Caenorhabditis elegans: one gene and its partner. The protein of the gene in region 1 interacts with the protein of each later gene in a pairwise test. Each region holds a gene or a part of one and is shown in the gene's direction. Other genes may lie near its edges. The genes, in order: C44B9.2 and F10D11.2.

Region 1 (5,157 bases):
AAATCGGCAAATGGGCAAAATGTCGGAATTAAAAACTTCCGGCAAATAGGAAAATTGCCGGAATTGAAGACTTTCGGCAAAGCGGCGAGTTGTCGAAATTAAAAACTTCCGGCAAATCGGCGAATTGTCGGAATTGAACACATCCGGCAAATCGGCGAATTGTCGGAATTGAATACATCCGGCAAATCGGCAAATCGGCAAATTGTCGGAATGGTAAACTTGCGGCAAATCGGGAAATTTCCGAATTGAAGACTTTCGGCAAAGCGACAAATCGGCAAATTGCCGGAATTGAAGACTTTCGGCAAAGCGGCAAATCGGCAAATTGTCGGAATGGTAAACTTCCGGAAAATAGGAAAATAGCCGGAATTGAAGACTTTTGGCAAAGCGGCAAATCGGCAAATTGTCGGAATGGTAAACTACCGGCAAATCGGCAAATCGGCAAATTTCCGGAATCGAATACACCCGGCAAACCGGCAATTTTCCGGAATAGAAAACATCCGGCAAATTGCCGGAATTGAATACATCCGGCAAACCGGCAACTTGCCGAATTCTACGACAAAAAATTTGCCGAAGGGCAATTACCGCCCAAAAACTAGGAAAATATTATTGAAAAATCGTTTCGAGACCCGAAAAATTCCAGTATTTTTTCAGCTGGAGCCCCTCTGCGGAATCAAGCCAGTTCCTCACGCGAGTTTCGTCGATGGATACATCAAAGCCTATTATCTGCCGGAAAATGGTCTAGAACAGTGGATAAAGACGCATTCTGTACGGGGTTTTTCCAATTTAATAAATTATTTTCCCGAAATTTTGCAGGAATACTCATCAAAGCAGCTGTCTTCTCTACTCGGTGCCGCAGCTCACGTGAGCAAAAAAGCCCGACTTCGGATATTGGACGCTTTGAAAGACTAGAATTTTATGTAGAAATAGTTTGATATAATTGTATATTTTGTCACTAATTTATTAATTTATTTTGCATTTTTTTTCTTTTCAGAAAATTGAAATTTCGACAAAAATTGGGTTCTTTTCGCGATTGAAAATTTGAGAAAAATGGAAAATTTGAATCTGCGCCTTTAAAACTACCGTACCCACTGCCACAGTTTTAAAGGCGCATCCTGTTCCAGAAATCGCGACGAGACCCAATTTTTGCATTAATTATTGATTTGAAATCTTTTCATGTCATCATCTCTGTCCTCATAATCAATAAATTTTTAATACAACAAAAAACCCGATTTTTTATCACGGTCTCGACACGACAAATTTTTGCTCATTTAAAAAAGTGTGCACCTTTAAAGGGTACTGTAGTTTCAAACTCCTAGGAATTTTTATTGATTTTTCAAAGTTTTCCGATTAAATTATATTTATTTGATGAATTTAAAACATTATTATGAAAAAATAAACAGAAAAATGAAAGTTTGAAACTACAGTATCCTTTAAAGGCGCACACATTTTTGCAATAAACAAATCCATCGTGTCGAGACCTGGTACCGTATTTTGGCGCCTTTAAAACTACCGTACCCACGACCTCGTAAAATTTTCAGTAGGCATATTTTCGTGGTGAGACCCAAAATTTTCAAATTTTATTTCTAGAGTTTAAAGGGATAAATCGCGACGAGACCCAATTTTTGCGCAAAATTTTTATTTGAAAAACGAGATTTTTTTCAATTTTGAATTATTTTTTCCAAAAAAAAATAAAAGCACGTGAAGATTAATCCACAAAATTTAACAAAAAAAAAAGGTACGTGGCACGCCACGTGGCGAAACGTAACATAGTCCAACTCAGAGAATCAGAGACGAAAAAAAATCGGAAAATTCAGTACGACGAATCTCCGGCAAGCCAAAATGACGTTGCGAAACCAGAAAGGGTGAGTTGGAGCATTTTTTGATTGTGAGCTCTCTGCTGACAAATCCGTGTTTCAGAGATTCTGTGACGCCTCAACGACGTGCAACAGCTGCTCCGGGAGCTCCATCTCAACAACTCAAAATGGCGGAGAAAACGACGGCACCGTTCGCTGTGATGTCTGTGGAACTTCCGCCGTTAGTTTTTTTTTCGGATTTTTTTAAGAGGAAATCCCAGAAAATTGTGAAGAAATTTCACTTTATGCTAGTAAAATCTGGAAATTTTCTTCAAAATCTGGCTGGAATACAGGTTTTGCCACGTGGCCGCGAAATGAGAAAGTTCGGCCACCGATTACTTTTTTCGCGGCCACGTTTTCGCTCTCAGATTTTTCACCATTTGTGAAAAGAAAACCCCGAAAAATTGGCTTTTTCATAGCGAAATAACTGGAAAATTTTAGAAAAAGCCAGGAATCCACGTGGAAATCTAAATTTTTGGAGTTTTTGTATAGGCTGCCACGTGGCCGTGAAATGCGGAACCTAGGCCATCCCTGCACAAATGGATGAAAAATCGGCTTTATCGAAAAATTAAAGAAATTACAGTTATAGAAAAAAGTGTAAATCTGGAAATTTTAAGAAAACTAGGCCACCGATAACTTTTTCGCGGCCACGTTATTTTTTTCCGGAAGGGCATTCAGGTATTGCTGCATGGCCGTGAAATGCGAAAACTAGGCCACGCAGCGAATTCTGAAAAAATGCACCTCAGATCCTGGAAAACAGAGTGATGGCCGTCATAAATTGGGTTTCTCGGCCATATTTTTGAAATTTTGCTCATAAAACTTCCAAATTCGGCGAAATGCGATTTTTTCAAGACATTTCGCAAATTTTCTGGAATTTTTAAAGCAAAATTCCGCTCAGACTACTTAAAACCACCAATTTTTTTTCAAAATTTCCAAAATTTGCAGAGGTCTTCCACGAGTCAACAACTCGGTATTCGATGACTTATCGCCACCAGCTCACATTCCATTCAGTGGATGGAAACAGTCAAGTGGAAGCAACAACAGTGGAAAGAAGAATCAGAGAAAGTCGACACCTCGGAAACAGGAAAATTCTTCTGCTTCTAGGCAAGGTGAGTAGTTTGTAGTCTTCTAGTAGATCAAAAGTAACCTTAAAATTGTTCAGGAACTATTCCGAATCCAAATCTAAAGTTCTTCCAACTGGTCAGCCCATTGCCATTTGCAACCAATTCAGTCCCAATTAGAGGAATCAAGACAGATCAGGGTGTTGTCAAGTATCCACTGCTCCTTTGCTCCCAGGAAGGAACTGTGATGGTATCCATGGCCGCCGGAATAATCGTCGAACTGTGTATGGATCGCAGTTTTCGTGTCGTCTGCAACACGGATTTCATGGCCTACATCAACTCGAATGGTGCCGTCTGCAGTTTTCTTCACAAATATGCAAAGATTGTGCATCAAAAGGAGCATGTTCACTGCAAATTCCTGAATACAAATGATCGAATGGCTGTGATGGGACCAGAAGGAATTCTATTCAGTATGGACTCACTCACAGAAGCCTATCTTTTGAGTGGAGCCAAAGAATCTGGACCTTCGGCGGTGGTTCTTGAGAAACCAGAGTTTCCGATCATGAATATGGATTATACCATTCAACAAATGTATGGAGAATCTGATCTTGGAGCAAGTGTAAGTTAAAATTAAAGCATTCTTTCAACTTGAATTAAATTCTTTTTTCTTTCAGAATATGGAAAAGTGCGAAGCTGTAATGCAGCAAGCTCAATACGAAAAGCACCCGGATGGACTCCTCACTGTGCATATCAACGGGATGCTTCTCAAGTACAACACTCAATCGGGAGAGGTGAATGTGGAGGCAAAACCAGTGAAGCTTACCGTCAATGCGACAACTCTCACGGCTCAGCTCAGAAGCGCTTTTATTGATATGGCTATTCAGGTAAGAAATTGATTTAATTAAGAAAAAAAATATATACGGTCAAAAAGTTTTCAAATTTTAATGAAAATCTAGTTTTTTGCTGTAATTTGCCTGAATCTGTTCGAAACCCAATTTTTTGTGCAGTTTTGGGTTCAAACTAGCACTGGGCTTAGAATTTTTGCTGAAAGTTGATGAAAAATTATTAATTTCGACAAAAATCGGATTTAAAATCGAAAAATTATGTGAAAAACGAGAAAATCGAAGAAAAACATTTGAAAACAATTAACAAAAATGTTTGGCGGGCTACGGTAGTTTTAAAGGCGCATGGCCGGGGATGAGCAACTTCCTTATGAGACCCGACTGCAAATATTCCGCTGTGCGCCTTTAAGATTACCGTAGCCAGCTTTTTTTTGCAATTTTTTTGACAGAAAATCAATAAAATCGAAAAAAAAAGTTAAAATAAACCGAAAAAAATAAATTTTCTTTCAGGACAAGGACAAATGCTACGTGAAGCGAGGCGAGAAACGAATTCACACATCCCGCTCGGGTATGGTGATCTCCGACGGCACCTGTACAATTTCCATGGACCAATTCGGCTGCATTCTTTCATGTTCATAAGTAACTCCCCGTCTGTTTTATTCCTAATATTTTTATTGTTTTATTATTTCCCAAGTTCCCCCCCCCCCCCCCCCCAGTATTATTAATTCCCTTAAGTTCTCCATTGAGACTCCAGCATACACCTAACTTTTATCCCATTATTCCTCGAATCATTGGGCCAAGAAAACCGCTACTGAGCCGGTAATTTATTTATTACATAAATCATAAAAAATAAAAATTTTAGTTTAATTTACGATGAACATACATCAAATGAGCAGTATTATATCACAAGAAGAATACAAATTAGAGATCTGATTAAATTTTGTGGCAAAAAAAATTAGAATTTTATGAAAACTGTTGGGAGAAATTTTAAAAAATTAAAAAATTATTATAGTGACGCATTTCCGGAATCACTTGATTCGTCGTCCTCCCGATGTGTAACTTTATAGACACATGTCGTCTCTCTTGGTGGATTATATGTTGAATCAATATTAAATGGTTGGAATGATGACCATGGTTCACATCCGTATTCTGTCCAACGTTCTGATGATGATTTTGTGGTGAAGAGGCCCGTGTCGCTACTGAAAATTGATTTTTTTCGATTTTTGAATCTAAATATGTGAATTTCCTTACCTCCTCCCGCCAAGTACAGTACTATTTGCCTGTGGCAATGGCATATCAAAGAACTCAGGCTTCTTTCGATCACTAATATACACACAGAGGAGTACGGTAGTCGATGTGAGAGCCAGCAAAGAGAAAAACGCAAGAATGAGCATTCCGATG
Region 2 (5,408 bases), on another chromosome or scaffold:
CCTTTTTGAAGGATGCCCCGGAAATGTTTGGTGTAGCTGCTGAACTAGACGATGAATTCCAAAACAAACCAGTAAAAGGGGTGGTCTGAATGTAAAATAAACATCAGTATTCTTTGTAAGATGTACAGTTGGATCAGACTCCCAAGTGTCGCTTGAATTTCTTAAGAAGGTTCGAATTTTTAAAAATTATTTAAATTAAATTAATCAACACGTAGCTTTTGTCCTTATTTTACTATGTTTTTTCACGTCCTCCTCCCCTCCCTCATCAATCAAAAAATGTATTTCTTCTCGTAAAAATGGCTATGGTTGTCGGAGGACCGGATGATCGAGAGTCTATTCGACTTTTGATTGGACAGATTCGGGTAGGTTTTCAATTTTTATTTTTGTTGAGTAACACGGAAGTTTTAGGATCTTTACAAAGAAATTGTGCAAATGAGAAATGAAGATAGAGAGCAATATAAGCTAATGAATGGGCGGGTGGATGCATTGGAAAAGGATGTGAGTTCAATTTTAAAATCAATTATTGATAAAATTTTGAAATGGATATTTTTCCTAAGCAATTGTATTGTTTAAGAGATCTTTGCGTACCAAGAAGCGTCGCAAGATCAATAAGGATAAGACAAAGTTGGATAAAGAAAAGAAATCGGCTGCTCAGAAGGTTATTTCCACATCAAATATGACGAATACTCCCAAGATTACGGACGAGAACAAGGTGGCTGAAAAGAAAGAAGAAGAATAATGAACTTGTTGTAAGAATGTCTATTTGTTTATGTGGACAATAAATGAGTATCTGAAGTTTTCATTTAATATTTTCTGTTTTTGGTCAATCAGCGATGAGTAATTGAACTGGCCAACGTCGCTGATTGGCCGGCGATTTTCTCAACAAGATTCGAAGTTTCAACGTCCATTTTAGTTTTTCAGCAAGCTTTTTCTCCAATGTATTATTTTTTCCTTTTTGTTTTAACATCTGACTTCCTTTTTTGCTGCAGCCGCAAAACTGAATTTCACTAGGGAATATTCTGAAGGTGCTATAGGAACTTAGATTAAAAAAATTGATTCAATTGAAAGCCTACTCGGCATTCAGAGGCAACTTCCTGCCACACTTTGGCAACTTCCTGCCAACAACCTGGCAACTTATTTAGTGCCACTAAAATAAGTTGCCAAAATTTGGCAGGAAGTTGGAAACAAGCAAAATTTGGCAGGAAGTTGCCATAATTTGGCAGGAAGTTGCCTCCAAATGCCGAGTATGTTGAGTAAACTCTAAACTCTAATGAATAAATGGAGAAAAACGCTTTATTATCGGGGGACTGTAGTGGAGTGGTACGGTAGGGGTGCAGTTTTTTGGATGAGCTGGGCTTAGTGTAGGGATTACGTTGTTGTGATGTGTGCTTTAGGTGCTTTGTTTTTGCAGGTACGGCTGATATACCAAATTTCAAACTAAAATCAGTATACTCACTTCAAGGCAAACCCTCAACGTCAAGGCAAACCCTCATTTACTAGCGTGCTCATTTACTTGAACGCTCAATCCCTAACGATGGCTCAATTCCTTTGACGCTCAATTACTAATGTTTTCACTTTCGTTCGTTTACTAATGAATGGCTCATCTACTTTGATATTTCATTTACTAACTTAAACTACAAAATTACTTTTAAAAAAAATTTCGGCAACCGGCAACTTTTGGTTACCGAAACTTCGGCAACTTTTCGGAAACCGGCAACTCGGTTGCCGGTTGCCGCACAGCCCTGGTATATGAGCCATTCATTAGTAAACGAACGAAAGTGAAAACATTAGTAATTGAGCGTCAAAGGAATTGAGCCATCGTTAGGGATTGAGCGTTCAAGTAAATGAGCACGCTAGTAAATGATGCCCTAACCTTGCACTGCTCTTTTCTGGTCTTTTTAGAATGTAGAATACTCTTCAATTAGCCAAATTACCAAAATTGAGTGTTTTTTTTCAAATTAATTGAACATTTTCCTATATTTGTATATCAAGTTTAGATTGAAAAAGTTCGATTATCATTCTGTAGAAGCAGTTTTTCAAAACTAGTTTGATGGATTTACGGGAATGATTTCCTTGTTTACAACGAAGCTCCGAATTTCCGCATACGCGCCTTATTTATCGTAAATTTACATTTCATCTGGTATTTGTTTAAACTAATATTCCTTGCAGGATAACTATCAATGACGGATTTACAAGTTTTTGAAATGAATCCTCAGCTGAACTTTCCTATTTCTGATAAAACTATTGTAAGTTCTTCGATTGTTCATTTTCAAGAGTTTCCTTTTTCGTATTTATTGAAAATCGATAATTTTCCAGTATCAAATGGGATTCAACTCAAGTGCTGCTCAACCATCTGCTGCGAACTATGTTACAGAGTCGAATTCATTAACAGTAAACTTTAAAAGTTCCGAAAGTCGAAAAAATCGATATTTTTTTTAGAATCATCTGCAAATATTGGACCTTTTGAATCCCCAAACTTCCAGTGGCAGCGACGATAAGAAAAGACAGTTTTTCGCAGATTTGATGACTCCACATTATGAAAAACAAGCTGAAATTGAAAAGAAAATTGATGATTTATCGGAAGTTGTTCATCAGTTTATTCAGTCACAGCAAAGTTTGAACAAACTAATCCTTGAGAAATGTCTGGTAAGTTATTACTTTTTCCAATATTTTCCTTAATCTACATTGGAACATAATTTCTTTTAAATATTTCATTTGTTTCAAATTAGATATTATTAATATCCATTAGACTTTTGCTTCTTTTCTACAGGGTCGTATTCCGTCTCCTCGAATGACAAGTCCACATCAACCTGAAGATAATTCAATAGATGACATGGATCCTCCTGTTCAAGAAGAAATCGAAGAAAAAATTGAAAATGATACTTTCGGTCAAAACGAAGTTACTGTGAATCAGGTAAGCGTTATTTCGAATATTTTTTCCAATCAAAACCGTTTCAGCAGCCAATAAATAATCCAATGCCAGTTTATCCAGTTCCCATTTCACATGAACCTGCAAATCTTCATTCACCGATTCGAAATCGATCAATATCTCCGGAAAAGATGGATACAACTGGAAATTCAGGAGCAGGAATGTCTGTCAGAGATTTTCTAAAAAACACAATGACAGTACAGAAAGCTGATGAAAAGGTATAGATTTTAATCTGAGTTCGGTATGAAAAATTAAATTTTCAGATTTTGGAAGAAGAATTAGAACGGGAGCGTGATGAAGCGGCACAAACAGTGAGATACAACAAATTTCGAGTTAGAAATCGCCCAAAGGTGAGTGTTTCTTTCGAAAAATATGCGAATTAACTTGTCCATTCATAATTTTTAATGCTAATACCTGAAGTTAATTTTAACATTTATTGAGATTCTCGAAATTTCTTAAAGTTTGAGTAGTGTCGGTTGTATTTTCCCTAAATCACAAAAAACAGTCTCAATATACTGAATATAACTGTTTAAAATAAAAGATTTAAAAATTTTATGCTTTAAAACAAGTTTCAATTTTGAAAAAAAATATAAACAGAGATGTTAAATTATCGTTTCTTCAGCCAATTCTAGAGCTTAAGCCATTTTCTGTTTTATTACAGACAAAAAAATCCAAAACTAAAGTTTTCAATTACTTTATTTCAGAAATACAAACGAAGTGCTGTAACATTTACATCATCTCTTGAAGCAGCTACATCATCATCTTCATCTACAATACCTCATCAAGATCAGGGTCCAACATTTTCAACACATTCAACAATTGGAAATTCATCGGATACTAGTCAATTAATGGAACAATTGGATCAATCACAAAATGATTCAATCGATATTGAGGAAAACGTTTATCAACCAATTGTAGTTCCATGTGTTCAAGTATCCTGGAATTCAACTATTTCTAATAATTATAAATTATTTCAGAGAGCTCCAGAACTTGACCTTACTCTCATGCAACCAGTGTTTTCCACGGCTTCTTCATACGTTCTCGTTAGTTTTTTCTCCAGAAAAAATCGAAAACGAGGAAACAATTACAAAAAAATTCAACTTTTTATCAAAAAAAGAAGAAAAATGATCAAAATTTAAAGCTATTTTTTGAAATATCATAAAACTAAATTTTTCGATTAGAGTGAAAAATTGAAATACCGACACTCTTGGTGGCAATTGAGTATCTTTTAAATTTTGATTTTTTCCAGAATTCTTCGGCACTGGACCCGACAACTCACCAGGCTCAAAGCAGTTTATCAGCTCTTACAGACTCCAAGTAAACACTAAAGTTCTGTTCAAAATCCTAACTTCTCTGATTTTTCAGATTCCAAACTGATCCGAATAATTTATGGAAAGCAGTTGATGGAGTTTCTCAATTACTTGTTGATGTACGTTTGATCTTTCAAATTTATTCAAAATTAGTTTTTAAAATTGTATTCTTCAGGCTCCATCTCTTCTGGAATCAGATCTTCGCTCATTCACCGATCACTCACATCATAGCAGTTTCCTTCCATTTGTTGCAAATGTAATATTATTTCAGGTCAAAAATTTCCAAATTTTTATATTTTCAGCATGAACCATTACATCGATCAGCATTTCTACCTCCACAATATCATGTTAGTTTCTATTTTCTTTTCTATCAATTATTTCTTTACTTTTTTCAGAAAGACCGACGCATTCACCAACAAATGGACTCTCATCTGAGCGATACTCTGCGAAATTTGTAAAAATAATTTGTATATATCTCAAATTCCCCTAATAACTGCACCGAAAATGAATTACATGTATTTGTTTTGAATATCAATGAATGAATTTTATCAATAAAAATTTTATCAATTGATATGAATCGTTGAATTAGTTTTTAGTTCTCAGTTTTTTTACTATTTCTTTTTTATTTTTTTCATTCTTTTTTTGATATAACATGATTTTTAGAGGCCATACTTCAATGAATGGACAGGTTTCCCTGCTGCTTCGAAGAGCTATTTCGGTGAAAACTTTTCATTTGAAAAGGTTTGAAAATTTACATTTCGAAATAATTAAGAAACAAAAATAGTTACAAAACAATGGGAGTCAACTTCTACTGCTACATTTGACGATTAATTCTTGTGATTCAGCTCATTTATTGCTGTGCCTTTGCAAAACGCTCGCTGACGTTCTTCCAGTTGGCGATCTGAAAGATTTTAAATTAAAAATATTAATTTTGATGGAAAGTGACAACTACCTTCCAAATAGCATTGACATAATCTGGTCGAACATTCTTGTACTGCAAGTAGTAAGCGTGCTCCCAGACGTCAATTCCGAACAGTGGAACAAGTCCAGTTGTTGCCTCAAGTGGATCCTGATTGGCACATGTGGCAACCTTCAAGATCTTTCCCTTTGGACAGTATCCCAACCATCCCCATCCTGATCCTTGAACAGCGACAGTTGATGCCGAAAGC

Evidence for each region.
Region 2: the proteins of C44B9.2 (region 1) and F10D11.2 interact in a two-hybrid assay, tested with the Caenorhabditis elegans proteins (one large-scale study listed by BioGRID).

What each region holds. Positions count from the first base shown.
Region 1 is NC_003281.10:10,873,620-10,878,776, forward strand, and holds C44B9.2 (Lgl_C domain-containing protein), read left to right. Parts: upstream 1-1,812; 5' UTR 1,813-1,839; coding exon 1,840-1,862; intron 1,863-1,917; coding exon 1,918-2,034; intron 2,035-2,798; coding exon 2,799-2,962; intron 2,963-3,015; coding exon 3,016-3,533; intron 3,534-3,588; coding exon 3,589-3,798; intron 3,799-4,266; coding exon 4,267-4,395; 3' UTR 4,396-4,623; downstream 4,624-5,157. Other genes in the region: vps-50 (Vps54_N domain-containing protein), read left to right, coding at 652-909; C44B9.3 (C2 domain-containing protein), read right to left, coding at 4,763-4,955, 5,008-5,157.
Region 2 is NC_003279.8:8,435,359-8,440,766, reverse strand, and holds F10D11.2 (uncharacterized protein), read left to right. Parts: upstream 1-2,158; 5' UTR 2,159-2,180; coding exon 2,181-2,246; intron 2,247-2,316; coding exon 2,317-2,391; intron 2,392-2,439; coding exon 2,440-2,646; intron 2,647-2,770; coding exon 2,771-2,914; intron 2,915-2,958; coding exon 2,959-3,147; intron 3,148-3,192; coding exon 3,193-3,279; intron 3,280-3,633; coding exon 3,634-3,861; intron 3,862-3,906; coding exon 3,907-3,972; intron 3,973-4,178; coding exon 4,179-4,246; intron 4,247-4,294; coding exon 4,295-4,358; intron 4,359-4,414; coding exon 4,415-4,495; intron 4,496-4,541; coding exon 4,542-4,586; intron 4,587-4,634; coding exon 4,635-4,697; 3' UTR 4,698-4,809; downstream 4,810-5,408. Other genes in the region: F10D11.3 (BAG domain-containing protein), read left to right, coding at 297-362, 409-498, 575-739; sod-2 (Superoxide dismutase [Mn] 1, mitochondrial), read right to left, coding at 5,090-5,140, 5,192-5,408; dpt-1 (Dipeptidyl peptidase 3), read left to right, coding at 4,916-4,980.